5 linked regions of the Mus musculus genome follow. The protein of the gene in region 3 interacts with the protein of the main gene of each other region in a pairwise test. Links are inferred from orthologs where the notes say so. Each region holds a gene or a part of one and is shown on either strand. Other genes may lie near its edges.

Region 1 (3,927 bases), on a different chromosome or scaffold from region 3:
AAAGTCAGTTTTTTAAAGGGTTGCAGCAGATTAGACTTGGTGCCTTTTAAAAAAACAAAAACAGGAGGAAGAGAGGGTGGGTGTAGGAGGAGTTAAGGGGAGAGAGTGCGGTAAATACGACTAAAATACACTGTGTTTATGTATTAAATTCTCAATGAATGAATAAAAGTATTATCTTTTAAGTGTAAAGGAATTAGTTGCTGTTTGTTATTGTAAATAGGCTATGTTTATTTAAATAGTATGGTTATGTATTTAATATCTATCTATGCTGTACAGAGAGTTTTGAAGTATGCTTAAAACATGACACTTCCTTAGCATTCTCCCATTGTTCTTAAATGTCGTTTAATCTAATCGTTGTAAGTTAATGCATGGTATTCCCAGCTGGAAAGCGGCGTTGAAGGTAGGTACCTCAGAGCTGGGTCATGAGTCCTGACAAGAATTATGTAGAAAGCTCGATTCAGCTTCTTTCCCAGGATCGACGTCTATAATTGATCTGGTTTTGATAAGCACAGTGGGAGCTACGGGTGTGCCCGTTTGAGGATTGACTTGCCATTTCAGGTTAGGGGAACAGAGAGGGAGAGAGGATTGTGGGTAAACACACAGAGAGGTAGCTGCTGAGTTGGAAGTAGGGCCTAGTTTGGGGGGTGGTCACTTAGTACCAACTCATGGGGAGACTTAAGTCAGGCAGCAAGTGTGAGGACTACTTGGGCAAAACGCATGAATTCCGAGTCAGCCTGGGCAACTTGGTGAGACCCTGCCTCCAAAGAAAAAAGTGAAGGGAGAGAAAGCTAGGTATGGCATAGACCTATAATCCTAGTACTAAGGAGGTTGTGGCCAGCCTGGGCTAGGCTAGTTATGTGTGAAGGCCCTGCCTCAAAACCCCAAAAATATTGGTACTAGTGCCTGTGCAAAACCAAGCAAACAAATTTGGGACTAGTAACTCTTGCAGCTGGAGACCGAGGAAGTCCAGCTGGAAGAGAAGAAAGGTCTGCCAAGGCCTGGGCAGCCGGAAGGCCAAGCGGCCAGCTGGGCTCCGGGCAGCAGTCGCCCTGCTGCATCTGCGGCTCCTGATGTTGCCTGGCAACCCGGGTGGCGCGCCGTTCGAACGGAAGCGACGGGCCAATCAGGAAGTCCGGGGCGAACCATTGCAGCAACGGGGACGGCGGGCTCACTTCCCTTTCCTCTGGGGCCCCAGGGACGTTCTCCCGGAGGGAATCGTGGGACAGCCAGGGCGTCCCACTCGGAAGAGCTCGCCGGTCTTCACACGTAGTAGCCTTCTCAGGTCTGCAGGGACCACCAGCTGTCAGCCTCGGCAGCCGGCGAGGAGCGGGATTCCTCTGGACGTGGGCTGCAGGTGAGCATGGGGGTAGGAGGCGGAGGGTCCCGGGGCAGTGCCCACGCATTAACCCGGGCAAGAGTCTCAGTACAGGGGGTCGACAGAGGAGAGTTCGTGTCTAGTGTCCAGCCCAGGGGGCCAGCAAAGGATCCAGGCTGTTTCCCTTTCCCACTCTGCAGTTCCCGCTCCTGGCCGATCAGAGGAACCCCGCGGGTTACTCTTTAAGGGGCTTATTGGGAAGACGTGGCTCAGGGGATCCCAGGGCTAGGCTACCCGTGCCCTACCGGCCCTTGGAGTTCCCCTTCAGGACATATACCATTCCCTCCCCATTCGCAACTTTTCTGCCTTACAGGGTTCTACAGAGTCCCAGTTCCCAGTGCTGCCCTCTCAGAGGGCCTCCCTGGGTTGAGTCCCTAGGACTGCAGGGCAGGGTTGAGTCCCTAGGACTGCGGATCCAAAGGCCTTGGAAGTCATGTGGATGTGTGTGTGTGTGTGTGTGTGTGTGTGTGGTACCTCTAAGCCAGAGTTGCTGGAACTGGACTTGAGAGTTGGGTGCAGGGTCAGACCCTCCCAAGTAGAGCATCTAATTTAGGCTGGACTCTTACCTACCCCCCTGTTGTTGATCTCGTTTCGTAGGTGGGGAATCTGAGGTTCTGTGAAGTTGAGGCTGTTGCTCAAAGGCACAGACTTAACTATGCAGAAGTCTTCAGTCCTTGACACAGGGAATCACCGACTCGATGGAGGATCTCTTATGAAGGGAACTACTCTTCCTCTGAGCCTCATTCTGGCTCTGGGGGAGCTGTGCTTGTCCATCTGTCTTTGTGTCATGCTCCCTACTCCAACTCTTGTATGGCCCAAGCTGGCCTCAATCTTACTATGTATGACCAGGCTGGTCTTGAACTCTCCGTCTTCCTAAATCTGCCTCCTCGGATGACAAGCATGTGCCACTGGCACACCAGTTCTGTGCCATTTTCGGGATAGAACCCAGGGCTTGGTTTGTGCTAAGAGAGCAATCTACTAGATGAGTTACACCACTGCCTCATTTCTTTCCACGTCGTCTAGCTTCCTGTAGCCTGATCTCTCCCCGAGTGTCCTGTTTTTCTCAGTAGCGTCTGTTCCATATTATGCGTGAGGTGTCTTATTAAGCAGTTTATTATCTTCCCCAGTGGAATGTGTCGGGCAAATGAGATGCTTAGCACAGGCACAAAAATGTCAGGGTGGCCGAAACTTGCAGAATCAAGATGATCAAAGCCAACATCTGTTGGCCATTTGCTGTGTATTGTGCTGGGGGTGGAGCAGGATAGGGTGGTGTCACTCAGGTGGACTCTGGCCAGCAGAGCCAGCATAGGCATTGTTATGAGCACACACACACACACTCTCTCCTCCAGCTACCTCACTTTAGGCAAAATGACAGGTGCCTCCGTGCTTCAGTGATTTGCAGCAAGCAAGAACTGGACAGACGCAGAATGGCCCTCAGTAAGGACTGATGGGAAATAATCCGAAACTCCTTAGATACTTTTGTGGCACCAAGAGGAACATAGATGACTAGCAAAGGGTCTGGGTGAGAATTACACACATAGCATGATGCGCTTTGCAATCCTGAACCCTGACTGTGGGCCAACTAATTGAGAAGACACAGACATAGTGATTACATCTACAGAAAGTTATGAGGTCACTGCCCTGCCTGGGGTTTGTCATTGGCTGTGTGAGTTTGGGCAAGTTTCTTCACATTTCTGAGCTGGGGTAAAACACTGCATGTGGAGTTCAGGCCTAGGCAGGACAGGAAGTGGGTGTGGCCACAGGCCTAATTCAAGCCTCACCTTCCTATCCTGGGTCAGGCAGGCCCTTCCCTAAGGCCTTGCTTGTTAGTCTTTCTGTCTCTCCTCTCTCCTTCTCTTCCTCCTTCACTGCAAGTCTGCCTTTGTTCCCATTTTTGTCAGGGTGCAAACTGAGTCCCCAGAGTTTGAGTTAAGTGGAGAGTGTGTGCTGGAGTGGTTCACGCAGGAGTTCACTGTCCTAGGCATCCTGGCCCCTCCCATGGCAGCCCACTCCTAACTCCTTGAGGTTTGTACAGAGCTACTCTGAGCAAGGCTGACTCCAGGGCAAGCCAGGGCATGAGCCTAGTGAAAACTCCAGAAATAGCTTGGAACCTGGCCTGCCCTGGAGAATGCCCAGCAGGGCGTCCAACCTGGACAGCTGGGCTGCCTCTTCCCCACTGCCTGGAGCCTTCTTGATCCTCTCCTGCAGCAGCCAAAGGCCTCCCTGTCTATGGAGCCTGATCCGGCTTTCCTTTGAAAGGACAGAGAAGCAGGTGGGAGGTACAGAATCGCATAAAATGATCAACCCTAGAAATCCCACCTTATACTGGGAAGAGAGGACACACGGCTGCCTGGGCTTAGAATGCTTGCCCCGTGCTGAGAACTTTAGCAGTGTGAGCTGTGATTTCGGTCCACTCTATGAAGTGAGGGGATTGCTGCTTTTAATGCATGGATGCGTATCCTGCAGCAGGCTTGTGAGAGGACACTTAAAGGAGTCAGTTCTCTCCTTCTACTGTGGCACTGAACTTGGATCCTCAGGGGACTGAACTCGGA
Region 2 (3,609 bases), on a different chromosome or scaffold from region 3:
TCCTCTTCAGCCGATTTCTTTTTGTCCCTGGGCCTTGGGGAGCTTTCCCTTATTTGATCTGTTTTATTGGAGGCACTATGCCCCTGCCTCAGATTGCACCCCTCGGCTCAGATCTGAGCACTTGACGTGACCGTTTCCCGCTTCTTAAAGTGAGGTCCCCAGTGCCACTTGTGAAGCGTGTCTCTTAAGGCCACTGTGCCCAAACTTCCCTGACTTCGCGGCTTTCCCGCCTACAGCCCCCACTCTCCTCTGCTCTCCTGACCTGCCTCTGTGCTCACCTGGCCTGAGCCGAAGCGCTGCGGGGACTTCCTGGTGGCCTCTCACCTGAAGTCACCCTACCCAAAATTTCCAGGTCACCGACACCGACCCAAAGGCTCGTCTCACTTCCAGGTCACCCAGACAGCCCCAAGGGACAGACCTAGCTCAGAGTTTCAGAGTCCGGTTCTCTTAACTCATTTCTAATTCTACTCTCAACCCATGGCCAATAACTGAAGAAGACCGAGTGTCACAGGGCAACTTTATTGAGTGGTAGCATGGTCACACCCAGCAAACGTGTTCCCTCTCATTCACTCTCTCTCTCTCTCTCACACACACACACACAGAGTTTCCCTCTCTCTCACACACACAGCCCTTGCCACAGTCCAGTTCTCAGCCACAGGGTGGGGAGCCTCCTGGATTATTCGGATCCAGAAGCAACAGGTGCCCGAGGGAGGCTCAGGGGGAGGAAGTGGGGAGGGGGTGCAGAGAGCAGGGGTGGGATGGGTTGGGAACACCCACCAGACAGCTACACGAAGAGTGAGATTCCCTGCCCTGGTGGCTTCAGCTTGGCTGCGCCCCCTTCAAAGGAGCCTTCCAAGGTGTGGCTGAACATTCAGGGTTTGGGAAGGGCAGAGTCCCACTCCGTTTTAGTCCTCTCTGCAGGCTGGGGACTGGAGGGCAAGGCGAGCCGGGGTGGTTGTCGGCTGCTTCAGCTCTGGGGCTCCTCCGGAGCCTCACCACCCTCTTCCCCAGCACTGTCGGCTGTCCACAGCGTCAGGTTGTCTCTCAGGAGCTGCATGATGAGGGTGCTGTCCTTGTAGGAGTCCTCACTGAGGGTGTGCAGGTCGGCCATGGCCTCGTCGAAGGTGGTCTTGGCCAGCGAGATGGCCTCCTCGGGGCTGTTGGCTATCTCGTAGTGGAAGACTGAAAAGTTCAGGGCCAGGCCCAGGCGGATGGGGTTGGTAGGCGGCATCTCCTTCTTGCTGATGTCCATGGCCTCCTGGTAGGCTGACCGGGCAGAATCGATGATGCGCTTCTTGTCATCGCCAGTGGCCACCTCGGCTAGGTAGCGGTAGTAGTCACCCTTCATCTTCAGGTAGAAGACGCGGCTCTCTGCATCTCCAGCCCCTTTGATGAGGTGCGAGTCCAGCAGGCCGAGTACGGTGTCGCACACACCTCTGAGCTCGGTCTCTACCTTCTCCCGGTACTCTTTCACCTCGGGGCCCTTCTCTTCTGACCCCTCCTCGTTGCTCTTCTGCTCGATGCTGGACAGGACCCTCCAGGCCGCTCTCTGGCCGCCCACCACGTTCTTGTAAGCTACGGAAAGCAGGTTTCGCTCCTCGCAGGAGAGCTCCTCGCCCTTTTCCACGGCGCTCTTCATGAAAGCTGCCATGTCTTCATACCGTTCGGCCTGTTCAGCCAACTTGGCCTTCTGGATCAGACTGGCTCTCTCCATGACTGCGAGGATGGACAGACAGACGGGCGAACTGGCTGTCTCGAGAGTAACGCTGGGTTCTGCGGCTCCCTTGCTCTGGCTCTGCCTTTTGGCTGGGGTGGCATGGCCCTGAGAAGAGTTGGGCGTGGTCTGAGCGGGCCTGGGCCCTGCCTCCTCCTAGTCTTCGCCACACCCTTTCCGGCTCTACCTTTAAGGTAAAAGGGCTGGGACGGGAGGGGGCTGTGAGTCACCAGGACAGTCAGCAGGAGAAACCTGGCCGCAGGTCCCACCTGCAAAGGCACCTTTCGGCTCCAGACTGCCCCCTGCAGTTCAGGGCTGGCTGCATTGCAGGAGCGTCTTGGATTACCAAATCAGATTGTCTTTCAGGGTGATCTTCCAGGCTTCAGCCACCGAGCTGCTTTAGCCCAGGCAGAGCCCAGGGAGCTGGGACAGTTCAGGTGAGAACTCATGTATAGGTAGGGCTGTACAGTTTCCCCCAAACTTGCGCATCCATGATCTGATGCAACTACCCCCAACCCCCGAATTGGCTCTGTAGGACTGTAGAGGTAGAACTATCAAGTCTCAGGGGTGAACCAAACCAGTTTGAGGTCACAAGCTGCCAGCTCCCTTAAACCCCTCCCCCTCCGTGTCCCCTCTTCCTCTTGGCTCTCTTTGGGGGCCATTAGCTGAGCCGGCCTGAAGATAGCTCCATCCCTTGGTCCTTGTTCTCCCTCAAGATGCCCTATGAACACCCCAGATGCGCAGGTGGCATCTCAGGGTGCCACTTAATGAAGTGTTTAACGAGCGGCCTCTGACGCTCCAGCCCAGCCTTTGTAATTAGTCACCCAATATGTTTGTTGGACACCTTCCCCCTTACAGCACAATTTTCCCTTTCAAGTTGGTGGCCTGTTGACACTTGTCTGAGACTTTACTCTCTGGTTCTCCACATCGGGTCACCCGTCCCTTCCAAGCTGCCTGTCGTCATGTATCGGCAGGGTTCCCAGAGGGTGGGGGCCTAACTCTTTGACTGTCCCACTCCCCTGCCTGACTCAGATTACCTCTGTCAGAGGCTGGGAAGCAGGCCACCTGGGTGCTCAGTCCAGTTTGGTCCCCCAGGGGGGACGCTATCAACCTGGGGAGGAAGACAGGGCTGAGGGAAAGGAGCTGGGAATGGCACATTCCATTTTGTTTTATGGCGCAGTGTGTGATTCCAGCCCAGTATGATCCCTCACTTGGCTCCCAGAGGTTCTCAAGTCCCTTCAAGACTCTGCCTCTGACCCCTGAGAGAAGTCTCCTTGGAGATGGAGATCACTTTGTTCCCAATCTTCCATCCCTGATTGGTTGGGCCCTATTTTCAAGGCCCATGATAAGAATGGGCACTGAGGGTGTGTTCCTGCTTATGTGCCCCACCACATTCTTCAAGTTTAGATGGGACTCCGTGGTTCCTTCTAAAGAAGTTTCTTCCTAGGACCCAGCCAGTCTAACCCTTGAAGCAGGACTATTGCACAACCTTGCCTGTCTCCTCACAGTGTCTGAGCACTCGCCTTGCCTCCGGGAGAGGTGTTGTAGGCCAGAACCCTGAACAGGCTGGAATGTGCTTGGGCCACGGAGTAGGGGCTCTTGAGAGACTTCAGGGTCCTGGCTAATTTTACAGGTTCTCCCAGGAAGCAGATGGGATTTCTGTCCTGAGATCTTGCGTGCTTTGCCTAACTCATGGCACAGGCACAGAACTACAGTAAAACATCAAGTTAGGGAAGACCACGGTAGTGTACGGCTAGAGTCTGAGCATTTAAACTCACACAGGGGACATGCCAGTTGGTGACTGGCTTTGCCACAAGGGAAACATGTTACCCCCACCCTGGGGAAAAGCAGAGGCTGGGAGTGTGTCTTGGTTGGTAGAGTCCCTGCTAGTGTGT
Region 3 (5,026 bases):
TATACAATTCTGAGGTTTAAATCTGCACTGTTCAGTGAAACAAAAGTTTTTCTATTCACTTACTAAACGATGTGGTAATACTCTCTACTACACACGTGAACTGTGCCATTTCTATATTCACTTGCTTGTGTCAAAGTAAATGGGTAGACAAAATGAAGTTATATATTCCAGATCAAGTAAAATTTAATGATTTTACACTTCTCTTCTCCAGGAATGTTTAGTAGAAAATTGAACTATCATACTTACAGTACAGTCACTGTACAGTTACTCCCCTCAAACTCCTGATTTTGTATTTTAATTGTGCATTTTAGGTAGAATGTATTTTCACTTTAAGTATCCCTTGATAAGTAAATGGCTTTTACATCAAATTAGGGCTTATTCGTACTAGAAGTTTCCAAAATGATTCTGTTTAACATTTTAAAATTCCTATGCCTCACTTTATTTCCATTCTCATATTTACTTATTACGATTTTCTTTCATTATTGTACAATTTTTATTTTGAAAACCTTTTTTCAAAAGTTCTTTGCTTATAAATTATACAATAACCAGATTTTTAAGATATTAAAAACAAACAACTCTATGTTTAAGTTCAGGAATTGTCTCTGTCAAGAAAAATGAGATGGTAACTTCATGTGAGGCACTGTTTCATTATTATAACACCAGGAAGCTGTTAATGGTATTGTAGGAATTTTCGAAGTCATGTTTTGTAAATCCATTAAAAAAAGAGTCAGATCCACACTTAGCAGTCATTTTTATTAGATGCTAATCACTGACATCAGTGCAGGGGCAGATTATCCACACAATTCACATACAGCCCACACACTTGGACTTTAACACTGGGCTTTCAGTTCTGCATTTATTTCAATACTTCAAACATATATATTATGGTGTATATTTATTTCCAGTTTTTTTCAAATACATCTTTGTATACATATACGCATATATATCATTCTTAAATATATATTTCCAAATATAAATAATTTCACATCAAGCCAAACAGGATAAAAACATGTAAACATATGCACCTCATTTTGGTCAAGTAAAACAGAACCACAAAGTAACCACAAGTTAACAAGTGCACTTGAAAGAGAAGGGAAGAAACAAACATGTAAACAAACACAGACAGCAGCTGCAAGGTCCTGTAAGGGTCCATTTTTTTTAAGGCTATATAGCAAAAAGCTCATAATTCAGTTAAAGACTTTTGTCACCTTGTCACATTTACTCTTAAGGGACTTCACAATGAGAAACTGTAAACACTAGACTAGAAGTGATTGAATCCTGTTGGAAAAAAGACATCACAAGTCATCAGTTGACAGAAATATTAATTCCACCAAACAATACTTATAAGATTTCTTGTTATTTTGTAACACAGAGAAACATCACAATCCTAGCAAGAAGAAATAGGAAATAGAGAAGAAAACAGCAATACTGCATAAAGATTGCCTCAGTAGCCTTTGAAAGCGATAGGGTTTTTCAGTCAATAAAGGGGAATAAGCAACAGCAGACAACAGAGCTTTAGCAGACCAGACCACATGCCACAGCGTGATACTACAGATTCAAACTGAAATATTCTTCCAGCTGGTACTGAAGCAAGAGCCAACGGTCATCAGAGAAGGAAGAACTGCCTCTCAGGCAAAGCAACTTCTTAAGCAACTGATTGGCCAGGCGAAGCACAGAATGCTCTTTTTTACGGCTTTTAAACAGCACGTTTCCCTCTCGCAACTGCACAGGCTCCAAAACTTGATGCCAGTATGCGCTTGATGATCCACCACCATCTGGTCTTGGAGGCTGATCTCTCCAGCCCTCGGGGTATTCATGCTTGTAAAAACAGAATTCTCCAAATGGGCAGTGACCTAGGCCTCCAGCAAAATACCTGCACGCTTTCTGGCTCATCCCCTCCTTATACTGCTGAACAAGTTTCTCCTTCTCCTCTTCCTCCTCCACCCAAAACTCACTAGGAATGACAAAGCCAGAGGAGACCCTGCACTGTGGGCAGGACTTACTGATCCTGTTCTCAAACTGTGTGGCACTTCTCCACCTGCGGATACACCTAAGACAGTAGGTGTGGTTGCAGCTGAAAAGAATGCCAAAGCGGCGGTCGCTGGGGTCAGCTTTCTCATAGACCACCTCCATGCAGATGCCACACACTTTGTCCATGCTGCGCTGCACAGCAAAAGAGAGTTCCATATCTCTCTCGTGTGCTTCAACGCAGGCCCTTCTATGAGCTTCCTGCTGAGCTGCATCCCAAGGGTGCAAGGCCTGCTGCCCGCACATGTCGCATATTTCTCCATGGGGGTATGCACACCTGTCCCCACGGAGGCATTGTCCCCGGGCAGCATAGCGGCAAAGCGGCAGCGGCATTGGCACTGGCATTGGCACTGGCATTGGCATTGGCACTGGCATCGGCATCCCCATGCCCATAGCCATATGCTCTCTCTCAATTGCCGGGCTCTGCAGAGGAGCCTCGGGACCATGCGGGGGGACCATGCGACCTCGGTAAGGCTGTCCAGGAACAAATTCAATTGCCCCCTCCCAGCCTTCTGCACCCGCTCCCGCTGCAGCACCTGCTGCAAGGCTTGCATTGTCAATCTCGGCTTCAGAGAAGCCCCTTTCAGCAGCTGAGCGAATGCCTGCATTGTCAATCTCAGCTTCAGTGAAGCCCCTTTCAGCAGCCGAGCCAATCAGAGGCAAGGAGCTTGAGGATGCAGCAGGGGGGGCTTCCGCCACTTCCTGAGTCGGGGGCTCCCAGCGAGTGGCCATCTTGGGTCCTCTGTCTGCAGAGGCCCGAGGCTGAGCATCTTGCCCCCCCCTAGATCTCCGCCGCCCAGAAAGGTCGTGAGAGTAGCGACAGTTATCGCCCTCCTTGCACTGCCCATGCAGATAATACCTGCAGAGGATTTGCTTCGTCCAGCTGCCACTGTTGCGCTCCGGACCAGACCGGGCCCCGCCCCCTTCGGCTGGCGCTGGCCTCAAACTCGCCGCGCGCCGGATCGCTGGGCCTGGAGTCACCAGGAGCGGTGCCAGACCCGATGCCTGCTGCAGAGGGGCCGAGCTGACTCCCGCAGAAGCTCCAGCAGCCTCAAACTGAGGAGGGGGGGGAACAGACACACCCTCCCCCCCTTCAGCACCTGCCTCGGCGCCGGCGGCCGCGTGGGCCTCAATGGGAGCTGTAGACTCTTCCATCTTACAGCGTGCCTCTAACACTGTCCAAAAACCCGAATATTATATCTTTTTTGTGCTTGAATTGCGGAGCTGGAGATGGCTCGACCAGCTTCTTCTCGGAGCGAAGTGCATCGATTTTTGTCTTCCCACCTGCTCCCCGTTCCCTGGAAACTTTAGTTCCTACCTGTTTACAGGCAGGCGGACACTTCCGGTTGTAACACCATTCCTAGGGCTTCACCGGAAGTTGCTTCCGCCATGTTTTTCGCGTGCCTGTTTCTGCTTGAGACACTGGGATGGGCTTCTGCCGGCTTTCTAAGTGCGACTCTGAACCCCCCAATCCCCGTTTCCACAGTGTTTCCCCTCAAGGTTGATGTTTTAAACTCTCCAGGTTTCAGTTGTATACATTGCAGTTTATTTGTGTGTGTGTGTTAAGAAAACGCTACACACATTGCCTTTACCGTCTGCTGCTTGAACATAAAACATTTCACTCACATTAAAAATTATTTTTCAGTTTCTTCTGTCGTTTGTTTATAGGCTACTAATTTTTAAGATCGGACAGTGTCCCTGCCAAAGCGTTTCTCCTTCAATGCTTGTAGATCTGACAGGATTCTTTGGGTCTTTTTTTCCCTTGAAGGGTTAATTTGCGTGCACTTTAATTAGGAGGGAATCCCCTGCCCCGAGGCTACTCAGAGCCTTTCACTTTCCTGCCTTTGTTACATTCTCCCGGACCCCCAACAATGTAGAAGCCTGGACTTTGCCCAACCCTGATGAAGACTTAATAAGGCAAGGTCTGAGAATGACCCAGGCTTTAACTTTTCTCTGTTGGTTGGATTCGGAGACCCTTTGTTCCCTGCCTTCCTTTTCATCCCATTCTGCTCTACAGAGCTTTTCATAATACCAGCTCCTCTTTGCACCCCAAAGTGTCTCATTTCCATTTCTGCACTGAGCCAGTTCTTTTTCTTTTTCTTTTCATTTTGCAGATATATACTATTGGGCTAATAATTTTATATGTAGTTCTACACTGCTACATGTACTTACTACAGTGGCATACTAAATTTTATAGTATAGTTTTACGTGGGTTTTTATTTTTAGTAATAATCATGCTTTCTTCCTTTCCTCACCCACTAACTTGAATTAGCAATGCTTCAAATATTTTATTTACTATTTAAAAAAATGAAATTATGCTCAGAAAAATAATTTTATTGGAAGGAGTCTCACAACCTAAGGTTAAAAAACTCTGAAAGCATATGATATAATCATCCAACTCAAAATATAAGTCTCAACTAAATAAATCCAACAACGATAAAACAAGATAAGAGGAACATAATCAAACAATATAGATAAGGGGGGATGAAGTCAAAGTAAACATGAAATAAGAACAATAGAATAGGCAAAATTTTTCTTGTGTAACTTATGAAGGAAAATAATAAAAGGCTCAGATCTCCAGCATCACATACTTCAAAAGAACTGACATTAAGTAATAAGAAACCTCAAAACAATGAGATGTTTTTAGTGCCACTAATTTATAAAAGACCTAAGTAAGAACTAGCAGATGAGAGTGGGGAAAAGATTTGAATATGAAACTTGAAACTTTCATTAAATGGTCATAAATAGATAGATAGATAGATAGATAGATAGATAGATAGATTAGTAAAAATATCAGAAACAAAAATAAAGATCTATTAGGTATGTTCTACATATGCTTAAGAAAATTTTGATATGAGGTATTTTAAAATGTGGACTCTGAAATGAACATAAAGGTTGAAAAGCTTATATTGTTTTAAAGTGCCCACTTGTACAATAGAGGGAAAAAAGCAAAAGAAAAGAAAAGGAATAAGACTTGTTAGAAGCAGAAAGTAATTAG
Region 4 (4,148 bases), on a different chromosome or scaffold from region 3:
CTGCAGGTTTGAACCTGGTTATTGGCTGTGGAGAGCCAACAACACTGTACAGCCAGCTCCAGGTGAAACAGAAACATCAGGCAGGCACCACGAGGAACAACAGAATGGAGGAGTGAGAGAGCAGAAAAACTTGGGAAGCAGAGGCAGAAGGAAGTGGGTGGGAAAATAGAAGAAAAAAGAATGATCGAAGCTGGGCAGTGGTGGCGCATGCCTTTAATCCCAGCACTTGGGAGGCAGAGGCAGGCGGATTTCTGAGTTTGAGGCCAGCCTGGTCTACAGAGTGAGTTCCAGGACAGCCAGGGATACACAGAGATACCCTGCCTCAAAAGGAACAAAACAAAACAAAACAAAAAGGAATGATCGAATATTTATCTATATCTTTACATTCTCGTGGAGGGCACTATTTTAGTATTATTTAGTAAAGTAAAATACTATTTTAATATTGTACATTATTTTAGGGCTTGAACTCAGAGCTTTGAGCATGCTACATATGCCCAATCCCTTTTTATGTCTTTCTCTTTTTACTGGTATTAGGTAGTTAATGCATGGACGTAAGCAACCATGCGAGTTACAGTTATTAAAACCTTTGTACCCAAGCCGGGCATGGTGGCACACACCTTTAATCCCAGCACTCAGGAGGCAGAGGCAGGTAGATTTCTGAGTTTGAGGCCAGCCTGGTCTACAAAGTGAGTTCCAGGACAGCCAGGGCTATACAGAGAAACCCTGTCTCGAAAAACCAAACCAAACCAAACAAAAAAACAAAAAACTTTGTACCCACTACCAATTTTTTTTAAAGATTTATTTATTTATTATATGTAAGTGTAGCTGTCTTCAGACACTCCAGAAGATGGAGTCAGATCTCATTACTGATGGTTGTGAGCCACCATGTGGTTGCTGGGATTTGAACTCCAGACCTTCACAAAGCCACCGTCAGAAGAGCAGTCGGGTGCTCTTACCTACTGAGCCATCTCACCAGCCCCTCACCACCAATCTTAAGGCTACAGTAGTGTACCAATGACGGAGGTCATTACAGAGGCCAGCGGTTCTCGGGTTCTCGGCCTCCGTTGCCTACGGGACACACCCGCGGATCTTTGCAAATCATTTATTTCCTCACTCTGGCCAGGGGATGATTCTCATTAAACCTACCCTCACTCCTCCACCTTCCTCCGGTAACCCCACCCCCACCCCCCCACCCCCACCCATCATCCTGACTGGGTCACTAAGGTTTCTTTTCCTTACCCTACATCAAGGACTAACAAGTACTGTCGATTTACCTCCCACCGCCAGGTGGCGCCAGAGAAAAAAACCACCCACCATTCCTTTTTCCTGGAGAGCGGCGGGTGTCGCGCGGGAGGAAGTTTGTCCATCGCCGTGCTCCGTTGTCCCGCGGGCTGCCCGGCAACCGGCGAGGAAACGGCTGGCGTCTGTGCAGTGGGCGCCTGGGGACCCTCGGAGCGAGCGGGCGCGTGATCGAGCTAAGGCCGGCGACCCTTCTCCGCGAACTTCGGACACGGAGTGCATGAGTCAGAGGTTAGGCTGGGCCGAGGGGCGGGGACGTGGCATCCTTGTAGCCGCGGGACCTGTAAAAAGTTGTATGCCTAGCGCTTGGCACATACCCGTCATCTTCACATCATTGTCGCAGGTTATTTCTGCTTGCTTTTTGAGACAGGGGGCTTTCTGGTTTGCTCAGGTTGGCTTTGAACTCCTGGACTCAAGTGATCTCTTCACGCCTCGGCTTCCAAAGTACGCGGGACCGCTGGGGCATGCCCCTGGGACCTGCTTGTCACTGTAGTTTTTATGCAGAATGTAAAAAACCTCTATTTCCTATCCCAGGCATGTCAGGACATTTTCTATGTCTGCAATCTCCCTGATAATGGCTGGCCACTACTGGACACAGTGCACGTTTATTTAAATTGATAATTTGCAGCCTTGGTGGCAAATCTTTTAAAACTTTCTGGCATGGGCCTCCTTCACAAAATTTGATCATTCGGTTGTCCTAGGGTGGGAACGTGGGCCTTAAAGCTGTGAGAAAGGTGCAGCCAAGGGGCGAGTGACATCAATAGAGAGAGGAGGCATCCGAGTGGGAGTGGGGCTTTAAAACTGTGAGAAAGGTGCAGCCAAGGGGCGAGTGACATCAATAGAGAGAGGAGGCATCCGAGTGGGAGGGGGGCGGTCCCTGGCTTTACAACTGGCTTACTTTCTGCCCACTGCTGTTTCCTTCAGATGGCTCTCCCCACGTTGCCCTCTTATTGGTCCAGCCGGAAACACATGGATCTTCGCCAGCGCCAGCATCAGCAGGAGGACCAGTTTCGCCAGCAGTGGGAACAGAACAGTCGCTATTTCAGGACCTGGGACATCCACAACTCGAAACAGATCGAATGGAGCTCCAAGATCTCCTACCAGCGGAGGCAAGTGTCTGTGTGTTGTCCTGCCCACTGGTTCCTACCACGGTTCGGGGAATGTAGCCTAGGGGCTTAGGGACTGTGGCTTGAATTATCTCCTGATGATGCTGGAAACTGTGCTGTGCTGGGGAGAAGTACTGTACATTTTGTTTTTTGTTTTTTGTTTTTGTTTTTGTTTGTTTTTTTGATTTTTCGAGACAGGGTTTCTCTGTGTAGCCCTGGCTGTCCTGGAACTCACTCTGTAGACCAGGCTGGCCTCGAACTCAGAAATCCACCTGGCTCTGCCTCCCAAGTGCTGGGATTAAAGGCGTACGCCACCATGCCCGGCAGTACTGTACATTTTAAAAGATAAACCAGAAGGCAGCGCTAGTGTCTTCTCGGTAGGTGTTTAGCCCCCCCCCCCAAGAATTACATAGAAATGTACATCAAACTGTGACCTGGTGTGACTGATGTCCAGGGAACTCCTTAACCTAGCATGCACGCCTACCATTGTGAGAAGATGAAGGAGGAGAAGAGGAAGATTCTGGAGCTCCGGCGGGAGAGGCTCAGAGAGCTTCTCCTGGAGGAACAGGACTTGCTGGCTGCGGAGCTGGATGAGCTCAGGCTGAGCATGGGCCTGCGGGAGCAAAGGCTCCGCGAGCAGCACCAGGACCTGAAGTCAGCCCGAGAAGAACAGAGGAAGCTGGTAACTACCCTAGTCCGGAAGCAGGTTGCAGGGCGGTAGCATCCCCGCCGGAACGGACGAGTGCGCCTACGGGGTTGTTCTCGGGTGCCTGTTCCGACGAGATGGTCAGGTGACTAGAGCCCATGGGGAAAACCGCCTCCAACCCCCCACCCCCACCCCCCAGAGAGGAAAGGCTTATTTTTAGCTCGTGGTTTCTGAGGGTCTCCAGCGATTGTAATGAGGAAGGCATGGAGCCTGTGACCAATGGAGCTCAAGTTGCGCTGGCTCAGGAAACAGGATGTTAGGAAGAGGGTTCAGAGACCCACCACAGTGGACTGTTGCCGCCAGCTAGTACCTCATCCCCTTAAACGCCCCCTGCCTCCCCTGAACAGTGCTGGAAGCTAGGGAGCAGTTGTTTTCAATGTTGCTTTTGCTGTTTTGAAACGGTCTCACTGTGTAGTCCTGGTTTGCCTGGAACTTTGTTTATAGACTAGCCTGGCCTCAGAGTCCCAGAGATCTGCCTGCCTCTGCCTCCCACGTGCTGGGATTAAAGGTGGATCACCGGCCTGGACCAGAGCAAGCCTTTGAAATGTGAGCCGTGTTGAGTTGAGATTCAGCACGTAACAATGATCTGAACCTCATTTGGTAACCTGTTAGTGCCAGCTGGGGTGTATAACCACGTTTTGTTGGCCCTTTGAGGATGTAGTCCAGGTTGGCCAGCAGTGGCTGTCCCACAGCAGACAGACCAGAAATCCCGCAGTTGTTGAGCCCATGAGGCTCAGATATCTCTGCGCTTCCTGCCTGGTGCTGGAGTCTGGGAGGGTTTCTGCAGAACATCTGGCTTTCAGTCTGTGTTAGGACCCTGAAGAAGTTGGAGGTCATTGTAACCTCACGCTTTCCCACCTGGCCTCTTTGTTCCCTGAAATAACAATTCTGAGATTTTTTTTATCTATGAATAAACGCCTACGCCAATAGCTTTGGCTTGTTCCCACGAGCTTATAACTCAGTCATCCTGTTTAAACTAGCCTAAGCCGTGCCACGCTGTTAGTTACCTCTGCTCAGGTTCATGTGTCTGTCTCTGC
Region 5 (4,007 bases), on a different chromosome or scaffold from region 3:
GAGAGCCTGGGGCTAAAGAGCAAGCTATAAACTCAAAGAAATGAGCTGAGAGTGGTGGTCCAAACCCGGTAGACTAAGGCAGGAAAATTAGGCCAGTTCAAGGCCAGCCTGGGCTACATAATGGGTTTGAAGCTATTCTAGGCTACACAGGGAGACTCTGTCTAGAAACAAAGTAGCAGTGGAGATAGTGGGGTGGGGGTGGGGTATGGTTGGGGGTGGGAGTAGGAAACAACTCAGCAATAGCACAGGACAGTTCACAGCTCTCTGTAACTCCAGTCCCAGGAGGCCCATCCCCTCCTCTGGACTCTGGTGCACAGACAATCATGTAGCCACACAGACATGTAATTTTTTTTTTTAATCTCAAAGAAGTCATGAATGAATTAAAAGAAAAAGAGAAAGTAGTGTGGTAGTGAACACTTTTAATCCCAGCGCTCAGGAGGTGGACAAAGGAGAGTTAGAAAGTCAAAGAGTAGCCCGGCGTGGTGGCCCATGCCTTTAATCCCAGCACTTGGGAGGCAGAGGCAAGCGGATTTCTGAGTTTGAGGCCAGCCTGGTCTACAAAGTGAGTTCCAGGACAGCCAGGGCTATACAGAGAAACCCTGTCTCGAAAAAAAAAAAAACCAAAACAAAAACAAAACAAAAAAGAAAGTCAAAGAGTTTGAGGTCAGCCTGGGCTGCGTGAAACAGAGACACAGAGATAGGGGAACCGAGAATGAGTTAGCAGGAAGGTCGTGGGTATATTATATGAGTACCTAGTGTGCATGTGTCTCACGATTCCATCTCCAATATCACATGTAACTAGGTAACTTAGGTAGTTCTTTCAGATATGTACCCTGCTGGCTTTCTGTTCAAACCTTCTGCTTCTCCCCCTTACAAACTGAATTATGCCCACTATGCCCATTGCCCCTACTCCCTCTGATGCCAGAATCTACCTGTGGGGTTTTATCTCTGTGGAATGTTCTCTTCCTCTAGCCTAATCCTTGACCTGATGCCATCAGCTCCCCAGAGAAAGTCCACCCAGATGTCTTAGTCTTTTGTGATCACCATCTCCCCCAACGCACGCACTCATGAACGCACGCACACACATGCTCTGTAAGTTAGATCAGATATAATTGCCTTGGCCAAGATGGATAGGTCTGCCTCCCTGGGACAGATACCTTCATCCTGGCCTTGACTCGAGACTCCACATTGTCATACTTGGGTGAGCGCCACAGTGCCTTCAGTGGCTTAGGCTGACCCTGTTCCCGGCTGCGTTCCTGGTCTTGGAAGCGCCTCTGAATCTCTTTGATCCGCCTCAAGTTTTCCTTCTCATGGTCCTTTGGATTCTTCCCTGGAAGGGTGCAGGGAGGAATATTGCTAGGGACAGCCCTACCAAATGGCCATGCACCTCGGACTAGATCGAATATAGATTCACACCCTACCCTTGGCAGAAAGACCTCTCAGACAATCTGGGAGATGTCTGGTAGAAGAGAGGCCCTGGGTTCACACACACATACACACACATTTTTAAATACAACCAAGGCCTCTTCATGGAAGTTAGACATCATACCCACAGCACAGTTATCAGCTTATTCCCTTCCACAGTCACCCTCCTGGTTATCTTCTACATTTTATGATTTAGCATACCATTAATCACCGTGTATATTATACACATGGCCTGTCTTGTTCATTGCCTCCAACTGTGACTCCCATACTCCCCCCGCCAATTTTTTTTAAATTCACACATCCCAATTGTAGCCCCTCTACTCCCAGTCCTGCCTGTGCCAAATCCCCCCCCCCCCATTACCCCTTTCTCTTCTCCTCAGAGAAGGGGAAGCCTCCCTTGGATACTACCCTACCCTGGGACGACTCCCATACTTTTTAACCCCGTTTTCCTAACAGCTACAGGGTTTGGCACAAAGTAGGCACTAAGTAAACAATGCTCCATCAAGGTGTGAAAGCTTGAAGCGAGGGCTTTCTGCAGAAGGATAGACTCTGATCCTGCCAGGAGGTATTGTATTTTGCCCTTCTTTTATGCTAGAGAAACTAAGACCCAGAAAAGAACATTAACTGCATGGGCTCAAGGCAATTAAGAAGCACCCTATTTTAATCTCTGCTTTTGACCTAAGAATGCCTCAATACCCCGTCTGCAAGGACTTACTCTTAGGAGAGACCCCCGAACCGAGGGAGATGCACCCCAGTTGCAGCAGCACGTCCCCCACGCCTCGCTGGCCACGCTCTAGGATCTCTCGGGCTTCAGGCCTGATGCGAGGGCCACGAGGAGGACTGGAGTCCAGGTCCCGACCTGAAGTCAGCAGGTCCAGCTTCAACGCGTTTCCTTCCAGGCGTCCTTGGGCTGAGGAGCAAGACGCGGTGGAAAGCCGTGCTCAGGGGTGGGGCGGGGTACTCGCCCCGCCGAGGCACCCCGCAACTCACCCGAGGCCGGCCGCCGGTAGTAGTCCGGGCAGAGAGTGGGGTCTGGGGGGATGGGTCCAGAGATGCGGGACGGGCCCTCGCACATGATCCTACCGCAGCCCTGCAACAGTGCACCAGGGCCTGTTGCGCTGCGCAACTTTCCCCTCTAATCCCTGTCGGGTGCTTCCACCCTCCACCCGAGCCCTGCATCCCCGCGGTAGCCCCCATCACCGAGCCCCACCCCTCGACGACCGCCCGTCTCTAGGCGCAGACTGTACCACCGCCCCGCGACTAGCCCACTGCCCAGAGGGGTTCGCCGCCCCTCCCCCGCCAAGCCCCAGCGAGGGCTCTCACTGGAGCAGTTTTACCGCCAACTGTTGCAAGCCGGTAGGAGTTGCTGTTGCTTGGCAACAAATGGCTTCCTGAGGTCAGGGGTCAAATGACTAAGGCGAACAGCCTTCTGGGGTTTGTAGTTCCAGATGAGGAGTGATTCTAAGTCTCGGGTCTCAACAGGAGCCTTACCTCTCAACCTGTCTCCCCTACCAGCACTGAGTACCAGTCCAGCCCCGCTCTGGGCCTGAGGTTTTCTCTGATCAACTGTCGAGGGATGCACTGATTCCTCATAGCCTATGGCCTCAGAAGGGGCCAAGAGGCAGCCAGAAACCCAGAATGGGGCAGCAGTAGGGTTAGCCCAGGTTGCAGAGAGCCTTGAGGTGACTTGGGCATTTCAAAGCTCGGGAGATGGAGGGGTAGGGCAGGAGAGGTGGGACTCTAGGTAACCCAACCCTCTAACTGCCAGGCCAAGCCCTACAAGTAGAGAGGCCTAAGCTGGTTACCTTCATATTTTGTGGCCAATATGTAGTTAGGAGACACCACCACCCCCCCAACCAAGGGAGATGTACTCCAATTGCAGCAGCTTTGGGCTTTGAATAACTGATCCCCACAATACTTTGCCTGGCCATCGGCTCCCAATGACCTATGTGTATCTTCTAGTGTCCAGGAACAGAAGAGTGTCTGGTGCCGGCACATGAGACCTGCAGGAGCCCAGGCGAAGACAAGTGTCCCGTGGGGCACAGCTTAGAGCCAGAGCTCCAGGAGGAAGGAATAAAGGTGGGAGAGGAAGGGCTCAATGCAGGGGTGGAAGCAGGAGAGGAGAGAGGACCCAAGCCTACGTCATCCATCGTGAGACCAGCTCATGGGCCCAAGAGAAAGTGAGAGGGCTTTCGGAGGGAAGGGCTGGGAAGGTGGGTCTTATGCCCGGAGATTCCTAAATCCCCATTCCTTCAAGGCAGAGATTCTTGTCTTTGACCAATACCCCTCACTCCCAACTCTAGAACTTGGGGGCTGGGGGGTTGGTATGGATTTGGGACTTCTAGATCTTGCAAGGAGACTGAGCTACCATAAATGCTGAGCCTCTACTGGGCTTGGAGCTTCACTGTCTAAGAAATGGACAGCTAACTAGCTCTAGTGGACAGGCAGGGGTAAGCCCTAGGCTCAAGATATAGGAACCAAAGACTGAAGCCTGCCTCTTTCAGGCCTCTTGTCCCAGGTTTGGGTTCCCCAGCCCTCCCAGGGCCAAGCACCATGTCCATCCTAGGTCAGAAGTTGAGCTG

The links.
Region 1: the proteins of Mkrn3 (region 3) and Fam110a interact in binary tests that used the Homo sapiens proteins (3 or more experiments, as listed by UniProt). The two-hybrid records come from large-scale screens. The link is inferred for Mus musculus from reciprocal best matches to the Homo sapiens genes MKRN3 and FAM110A.
Region 2: the proteins of Mkrn3 (region 3) and Sfn interact in binary tests that used the Homo sapiens proteins (3 or more experiments, as listed by UniProt). The two-hybrid records come from large-scale screens. The link is inferred for Mus musculus from reciprocal best matches to the Homo sapiens genes MKRN3 and SFN.
Region 4: the proteins of Mkrn3 (region 3) and Tchp interact in binary tests that used the Homo sapiens proteins (3 or more experiments, as listed by UniProt). The two-hybrid records come from large-scale screens. The link is inferred for Mus musculus from reciprocal best matches to the Homo sapiens genes MKRN3 and TCHP.
Region 5: the proteins of Mkrn3 (region 3) and Enkd1 interact in binary tests that used the Homo sapiens proteins (3 or more experiments, as listed by UniProt). The two-hybrid records come from large-scale screens. The link is inferred for Mus musculus from reciprocal best matches to the Homo sapiens genes MKRN3 and ENKD1.

What each region holds. Positions count from the first base shown.
Region 1 is NC_000068.7:151,977,420-151,981,346, reverse strand, and holds the start of Fam110a (protein FAM110A), read left to right. Parts: upstream 1-1,127; 5' UTR 1,128-1,354; intron 1,355-3,927.
Region 2 is NC_000070.6:133,600,056-133,603,664, forward strand, and holds Sfn (14-3-3 protein sigma), read right to left. Parts: upstream 2,114-3,609; 5' UTR 1,715-2,113; coding exon 968-1,714; 3' UTR 501-967; downstream 1-500. UniProt on the Homo sapiens protein: Adapter protein implicated in the regulation of a large spectrum of both general and specialized signaling pathways. Binds to a large number of partners, usually by recognition of a phosphoserine or phosphothreonine motif.
Region 3 is NC_000073.6:62,416,859-62,421,884, forward strand, and holds Mkrn3 (probable E3 ubiquitin-protein ligase makorin-3), read right to left. Parts: upstream 3,296-5,026; 5' UTR 3,184-3,295; coding exon 1,549-3,183; 3' UTR 735-1,548; downstream 1-734. UniProt on the Homo sapiens protein: E3 ubiquitin ligase catalyzing the covalent attachment of ubiquitin moieties onto substrate proteins.
Region 4 is NC_000071.6:114,706,431-114,710,578, forward strand, and holds the start of Tchp (trichoplein keratin filament-binding protein), read left to right. Parts: upstream 1-1,348; 5' UTR 1,349-1,530; intron 1,531-2,223; coding exon 2,224-2,408; intron 2,409-2,603; exon of another isoform or gene 2,604-2,782; intron 2,783-2,876; coding exon 2,877-3,087; intron 3,088-3,119; exon of another isoform or gene 3,120-3,196; intron 3,197-4,148. UniProt on the Homo sapiens protein: Tumor suppressor which has the ability to inhibit cell growth and be pro-apoptotic during cell stress. Inhibits cell growth in bladder and prostate cancer cells by a down-regulation of HSPB1 by inhibiting its phosphorylation.
Region 5 is NC_000074.6:105,705,409-105,709,415, forward strand, and holds the start of Enkd1 (enkurin domain-containing protein 1), read right to left. Parts: upstream 2,801-4,007; 5' UTR 2,749-2,800; exon of another isoform or gene 2,516-2,748; 5' UTR 2,501-2,515; coding exon 2,416-2,500; intron 2,336-2,415; coding exon 2,141-2,335; intron 1,331-2,140; coding exon 1,158-1,330; intron 1-1,157. Other genes in the region: 4933405L10Rik (uncharacterized protein C16orf86 homolog), read left to right, coding at 3,024-3,107, 3,388-3,605, 3,992-4,007. UniProt on the Homo sapiens protein: Microtubule-binding protein which regulates microtubule organization and stability. Promotes the stability of astral microtubules and facilitates the proper orientation of the mitotic spindle.